Oryctolagus cuniculus: one gene and its partner. The protein of the gene in region 2 binds, or shares a complex with, the protein of the main gene of each other region. Links are inferred from orthologs where the notes say so. Each region holds a gene or a part of one and is shown on either strand. Other genes may lie near its edges.

Evidence for each region. Proteins that work in one complex are often made in the same cells at the same time.
Region 1: the proteins of formin-2 (region 2) and SPIRE1 are in contact, whole or in part, in a crystal structure (PDB 2YLE), measured with the Homo sapiens proteins. The link is inferred for Oryctolagus cuniculus from reciprocal best matches to the Homo sapiens genes FMN2 and SPIRE1. Residues at the interface, in NP_064450.3 of Homo sapiens: Ser1702, Leu1703, Lys1705, Ile1706, Lys1707, Pro1708, Arg1709, His1710, Gly1713, Ile1714, Lys1715, Lys1717, Ile1718, Lys1721, Thr1722; in NP_001122098.1 of Homo sapiens: Gln51, Pro52, Ile53, Asn54, Glu127, Ile131, Tyr134, Lys135, Asp138, Leu141, Lys142, Glu143, Asn144, Glu145, Glu146, Arg147, Glu148, Glu154, Ile157, Asp158, Ala161, Asn162, Thr163, Val164, Glu165.

What each region holds. Positions count from the first base shown.
Region 1 is NC_091441.1:69,320,431-69,323,949, forward strand, and holds part of SPIRE1 (protein spire homolog 1), read right to left. Parts: intron 2,329-3,519; coding exon 2,155-2,328; intron 1-2,154.
Region 2 is NC_091444.1:57,070,279-57,073,797, reverse strand, and holds part of formin-2, read left to right. Parts: intron 1-1,291; coding exon 1,292-1,383; intron 1,384-1,548; coding exon 1,549-1,678; intron 1,679-2,734; coding exon 2,735-2,881; intron 2,882-3,519. UniProt on the Homo sapiens protein: Actin-binding protein that is involved in actin cytoskeleton assembly and reorganization. Acts as an actin nucleation factor and promotes assembly of actin filaments together with SPIRE1 and SPIRE2.

The DNA of each region.
Region 1 (3,519 bases), on a different chromosome or scaffold from region 2:
TATCTAGCAAATAACCAGGTAAACAGACTTGTTCTTGTACTTGCCAGGAAGGTATCATATAGTGCCAGTTTCAGTAATTTTGCTACTGGGATACCTGGGTTGGTAAACATCTCAGGGAGACAATAATTGTTCTTTATTTGTGGGGATTTACTAGCACACATAATCAACCTGACAGCTTGAGCTCCCCTCTTCAGTCTCAAGTCACAGAAGCCCTTAGTCAAGCATACTTCCTCCAACTTCCTGCTTTGAACAATATGCAAATCAAGTGCTTCAGAGGATGCAGTAAGAGATCCTGGGTTTTTGTTTTCTTATGCTTTTTCCACATTAAAATTTACTAAAGGTCTAAAGGAGGCTACTGAAATTGAAAAAATTCAGTTTTAGTGTGTTTTGAGGTTTTAAAAATTATTTTAACTGTACAAATTTATGCGGTGTTATATGCCTATACATATATTTTTAAATTTAAAAAATACTTTGGGTTAGTAAAATAATTTCCATCAGGTCAAATGCTAATGTTTTAATTCTAGAGCTTTCCCAAGGACAACAAAACTTTAATGCAACATGAAAAAAATGACAAATAGTTGCTATGGATTAGTTTTTCCCCCTCAAATAACAAAAAGATTAATTCAACATCCCCAAAGCCAAACTAAGCTTCAGCTGTTCTTGTGGAGCTACCAGCACTCTGAAAGATACAGAGACGCAGGCTTCTGATGGTGGGGGAGTCTTGTGTACAGGGTAAGAGTTTCTAATAAACGAGAGAGAGGCAAATTTAAATAAAAACTATTAAGTTTAATTAAGCCTTAAAACTCAAAGTGAATCCTTTGTTGGTCTGAAGTAGTATGTGGCCTTGGTGTGTAGATACCACACCTCTATTTGGGGAGGATCCATAACAAAATGCGGCAGGTGGCTGGCGCCGTGGCTCAATAGACTAATCCTCCACCTGCGGCGCCAGCACACTGGGTTCTAGTCCCGGTCGGGGCGCCGGATTCTGTCCCGGTTGCCCCTCTTCCAGACCAGCTCTCTGCTATGGCCCGGGAGTGCAGTGGATGATGGCCCAAGTCCTTGGGCCCTGCACCCTATGGGAGACCAGGAGAAGCACCTGGCTCCTGCCTTCGGATCAGCCCGGTGCGCCGGCCACAGCGTGCCTGCCGCGGCGGCCATTGGAGGGTGAACCAACGGCAAAGGAAGACCTTTCTCTCTGTCTCTCTCTCTCACTGCCCACTCTGCCTGTCAAAAAAAAAAAAAAAAAAAAAAAAAAAATGCAGGTCTTCAGGTGTCACAGTAGGAGTGACAGGGTTAAAAGGCACACCCCTGCACCTGAGCAGGTGCTGTCCGAAGGGCAGGTCTAAACTGGGAAAAAGGTCAGAGACTGACCCCATATTTCATGACAATTTCATTGGCATCTGGACTCCTTTCTATACTAAGATGGGTAATGAGGATGAATAACACAGAAGCTGCCGCTGAGTCATCTGTTAGGGACCCTGAGAGCCACACTGGACCAGAGGGGCTTCAATGTGGTCCCAGGGCTTTTTATTTCACTCAAAAAATGTGAAGGTTCAAATAGTAGTAAAATATATTATTCTGTGCAAAGATCTCTAAAAAGAAAATACACAATTATTTTAAATAACCACATCAATAAAAAGAAAGATTAAATTTTCTCCTCCCAGAGAAGCAACACCCTGACCACCATAGGCAGCTTTATGACATGCTGGGAACAGACAGGTTTCTGGCCCCAGGAGGCCATCCTTTGGGTACGTGGCCCTCAGAGCTTGGTTACATGGCAGGAGCTACTCTGTCAGCTGAATGAGCAAGTGATCGCTCTTCTGATGGCAGGGGAGGCCCAGAAGAAAGCATGCTCTGGCTCTCAGGAGGACCTCCTGCACCACCCTGATGACAACGAGGTCACTCAAATAGACAAACACCCATGGGACATCTAATCTGATGCTGCATTTTGAGTTTGTTGTCCTTTCAAAGTCATTTCCCCCTCAACTGAGATCATAGCGAGATCTATACATCCTACACAAGATTGGAATCAACAATCAGAAGCAAAGTGCCCATCTAAGCTGTTAATTCTCGCAGAATGCAATAGCTGAAGTATCACTGTCAAAGAGATACAGAGAGTAAAATAATTCCCAGAACCAGCAGAAAGAGGCCAACCTTTGAGGATTTCCACCTGCTGGTAAAAGCTCTCTCACACAGATAATACATAGCCCCTGCTACCCCAACCATGGCTGCTTCAAAAGGATGAGAGCTGAGCAGAGAAGCTGCTTGTATGGTAGAAAAAAGTGGTCGGAAAGGCGTCCTGGGCCATACACTGGTTATCCTAGGAACCTGAACAATAGATAAGGGAAAAAGAAAATGGCAGGAGAAAAGAAAAGGAGAAAATAACGCTGAACATGAGTGACCTACAAATACTAATTACAGAAATGAAAGAAAAACCAAACAAAATAGAAAACCCCACAAGGATGGTAATGGTCCACACCATGTCTGCATCTGTACATCTAACTCAGAAACCGAATCCCAAAGTCATGCCTAGAGATTGTACAGTTCCCACAGCAAAGACAGATTTCGCATTTCTCTAGCTTGGGGGCCCTTTGAACGTTCTGAGTCCCCTAAATGGTGCTGCTGGGCTAAGGGACAGAGGTAACCGCCTCCAGTGTCTGAGAAAACACAAGGATACCAGGGGGTCTTCAAAAAGTTCATGGGAAATTCATAGTGTGAAAAAACTATGAATAGATTTCAAAATTTCAATGCACCAAAAGTAAATTTATCTTTTAAATCCATTTTCTCATAAACTTTCTAAGTCCCCTAGTATACACCAAGGAACTGTTTGCTTCTGTCTCTGTAAAAGTACTTTCTGACAGCCTGCCTTTCACCTAGAGGGGCAGTCACCCCCAGTCACTTCACCAGGTGATGAAAAAAGTTACACTTCAGACATACTAAGGAAAGGGAGGGCAATAGAGTCAAATACAAAATGATTTCTTGCTTAATAAAATTAAACTAAAATTCCAAATTAATTACCATACTTGTAAAATCAATGCTTACCAAGCTAGAGGGCACTACTACCCACGTTTGATATCTATGGATTCCCACGCCACTGGCAAGGACAGTAGCTGCACAGCTGGATGTTCATGTTTGTCTCAGCTGGCGCCAGAAGGCACTGGGTGAGGGCCACCCTGCACCTCTCCATGGTCTCTGCTCCCTTCCCTCAGCCTGAGCTCCACCTAGGTGAACCCAGCTCTCCCACTGCCTGTTCACAGGGACCCTTCCAACTAACTGCAGTTAGTTTTTCTTGCTCTCCTCCCTCTTCTACAAAATACAGGCTCACAGTCTGACCAAGATTTGCCAGATCTCTTGGTCTCTGGTGTGGGCTGAAGGTCTTGGCATAACCTCTATTATTAGCTAACATAACACTATGGTCGATGGTTCCTTTACACTGATAATTTTTATGTTTAATTTAATCTTACCTCAATAATTATATTATATGACCATAAGGACCAGATACATCAGTGAAATGATACA
Region 2 (3,519 bases):
ATAGCACTTTAGCTTTCCACATGGCCACATTGACACCAAGAAGGGCACAGTTTTTCATTTGGTGTTTGCCTAATACTGGGCAGGTAATAAGAAAAAGGTTTTCTCATCAGCCAGACTACCCTTTCTCTCGTTCTTTGACTGGAGGGAGGTAGAAAGCTCTTCTTGTCTATTTTTTCACTCGTGTCTGCTAGTGGTTCCAGGTTTCAAGCTTCTCCAGCACCCCATATGGCATAAGTAGAAGGGAAATAGAAAGCCCAGGGAACTCAACAACATTCTATTTTCTCAAGTGGTGAGGTAGCTGGCCAGCCTGTCCCCTTTCTGGTCCTTCACTGCCATTATGCTTAGGAATTCCAGTTATAAGAGGGAGGACTGGTAAGCAATGGGGCGATTCCATGTTTATGTCCTTGTTGCTTTTTAAATACTTAGCGCCCTGCTGTAGGTTTCTGGGCCTCAGAATGGGGTCATTGACCAGGATATCATGGGTGAAATCTTGGGAGCTGCTTCACCTTTGGAGCTACTGTTTTATCTAGAAATGAAACTTCTGGCTCTAAGATCATTTGTTGAGCTCAATAAAAATGGTTTAAGTGACAAAAATAATCAGTTTGCAGGGATTAACAAATGAACCAAAGATGAGGAAAGAAGTCAGTATGTCTTCAAGATCCTGCATTAAAAAGTGTAGGATGGTGAAGGGATTTGGGGATATGTTTGGTGTTGGGGGATAAGTGAGAAGTGCAGATTGGAAAGAAAATAATTTTAACAAATTTGTTTTTGTGGTTGGACTGAGAATGCAATGTTAATAAAGAGTGAGAAATGAAAAGGCAGATTACAGACAGTAATGTTGGTCACACTGGAGTATGAGGTTCTAGCACAAGTATAAAAACTGTTAGGAAAGAGAACTTCATTCCTTGGAGACCTAGTATACTCCCAGCTAGCAATAATCTTAATTGAGCAAATGCCACTTTAAAATGAAAATCTTGCATCCTAGAGAATATTATAAACAGCCAAAATAACAAGAAAGGAAAACTGTATTGTTTTAAACCATGCTTGAATGAATAAATGTTTTGCAGATCACCAATCGTCAGTGACATTATTTGGAAGATTTGGGGATGATCTGGTTTGCATTAAACATATTTACACTTTAAAATGCCTTATAAATTAAGTCAAGCTGTACTACAAACAGATGCTAAGAAATATGAAAATATATAGATTTTTTGCTGTGTTAAGATACTTGTTATCTAAAGAATATAATTGACCAGAGTTTGAAAAACTGCTTGGCTTTTGTTTTTTCCAGAGAGCTCAGTCAGATGAACTGGAAAAAATTGAAAAGCATGGCCGATCCTCTAAAGACAAGGAAAACGCCAAGTCTCTGGATAAACCGGAACAGTAAGCATGCCTTAGGCCTGTGGCAAGGGCACAAGGGCTACGGGTGGGCCCTCTGTCCATTTGGAAAATGCAGTCTTCAGTGCATACCTGTCATGAATGAGATGAGGATCAACATCTGTTCATATGAATTATATTTTTCCTCTTAACTTGGCTTTATTTCTTTAGGTTCCTTTATGAACTGTCACTAATCCCCAACTTTTCAGAGCGAGTCTTTTGCATCCTGTTCCAGTCCACGTTTTCAGAAAGCATTTGCTCAATTCGTCGCAAACTGGAATTATTACAGAAATTGTGTGAGGTGAGTTTTGGTCCAAAATGAATTGAACTTGAATTCTGATTATTTAATTTGTTCAGTTATGTTCATGTTTCAAAGAAATTTATTTTATTTAAACTCTTTATTAGAAGTGAGGGATAGTAGTCCCACAAAAGGGACCATTTTACGGCTATGCTTTCAAGATCAAATCACATGTTCAGGTTGGCGCATGGATTTGCAGTACCGTGTTGGGCGAGTGTGGCCAGTGTGTGTTGGCCTCTGGAGAGCTGTCTTCCATCAGCTTTTGCCAAAACAAAATCTTTACTTTTCATAGTCCTTTCAGATATCAGACTTCCAAATGAATGAGATTTGAAGGCATTTTATTTACTTCCCTTCATTTTTGGCAGGGTTTTGCAAATTGTTAATAATCATTCCAACCAAATCATTTAGGGACAGACAGCCATATGGCTCAACAGAAGATTAATATTCTTCTGAAAACAGACTAAGTGCCTGGAAGAAATGACCATTATTAACATTTAAAACAATTTGTCAAAAATCAATAGTACCATTCGTTCTGGTCGTGGTAAATCATTTTGAAAAGTGGGATGATGTTATCAAAGACACATTTTCAGAGGAAGTGACATGGAAACTGAAGTTAAACTTAGTATTTTTGGAAGAAGTGTATGTGAACTTTTTGGGAGTAAACCTAAATTTGAAAATCTTCTAACTGCCTTTTGGTTTTCTACAGTTTCTTCCAAATATTTGTGTTGTTCCAGACATACACATGACTAGGATGATGGCAATGATATTGTTTTATAATAGTTGTCCTATTACAACCTTATTTAATTTCCTTGCAATTAAATAGTAGAAACAGCCTAGAGTGGCATCTCTCAACTTACAAAAACATAATTAAATACTTGCTGGTGGTACAACGTTTTAAAGTTTTAAAGACTGCTCTTAAAATATACTTGATAATGAGGGATGGGAAAGTTTGGTTTTGAACCAAGACTGTTAGTATCATGTGAATAGCTGGCAATGACTTTGGATGATTCAAACAAAACTTTGTATAAGAGAAAAATTGTTATTTATCATGTTTTACAGACGTTAAAAAATGGTCCAGGGGTTATGCAGGTTCTGGGTTTGGTTCTTGCCTTTGGCAACTACATGAATGGTGGAAATAAGACTCGGGGTCAGGCAGATGGTTTCGGATTAGACATTCTGCCGAAGCTGAAAGATGTCAAGAGCAGTGTAAGTATTTTGTACAAATGGATGTAGGCAAATTCAGATTAGGTATTTTGTCTAATAATTGGTCTGACTCTAAGCTAGATGTAATAAGTATTTCTTTAGGTTCCAAAGTCTGGCTTGAGCCAGATAAAAGTAATGGCTATCAGATACTTGTGATTTAGTGAATAATAATGTTTTTTAGAATAATTTTGAGTTCCTTGTCTAGTGAATGATTATGATACTTTAAAATTTAAGTTTTTTTTTTTTTCACTCTAACCTGTCTGCTAATACTTATCCTTTTGGAACCTGGGAGCGAGCTATTTTCTGTGAATTAGACAGCCTTATTTGTTATTTTCATCTCTGTGTTTAAGAATGAAGGCCAAGAGGTGCATGTTTTGAAAACAAAACAGACATGAGTGATTGCAAATAAGTCATCAAAAATATTCTGCTTTTCTACATATATTTTTTCTGATATTTATTTGTATGGGAATGTCTAAGCCTAATTATTTTTTTATCCTGCATCTACAATTGTGTTTGTTTTAAAATTAATTCAAGAGATTACAGAGTGATAGCATGGGATACTGGTCAGAGCCACAGACTAAAGTCTGGGATGGTAAACAGAAAATAAGAGTTCTATTTCTCTGATAAAAAGAGTCACCAGA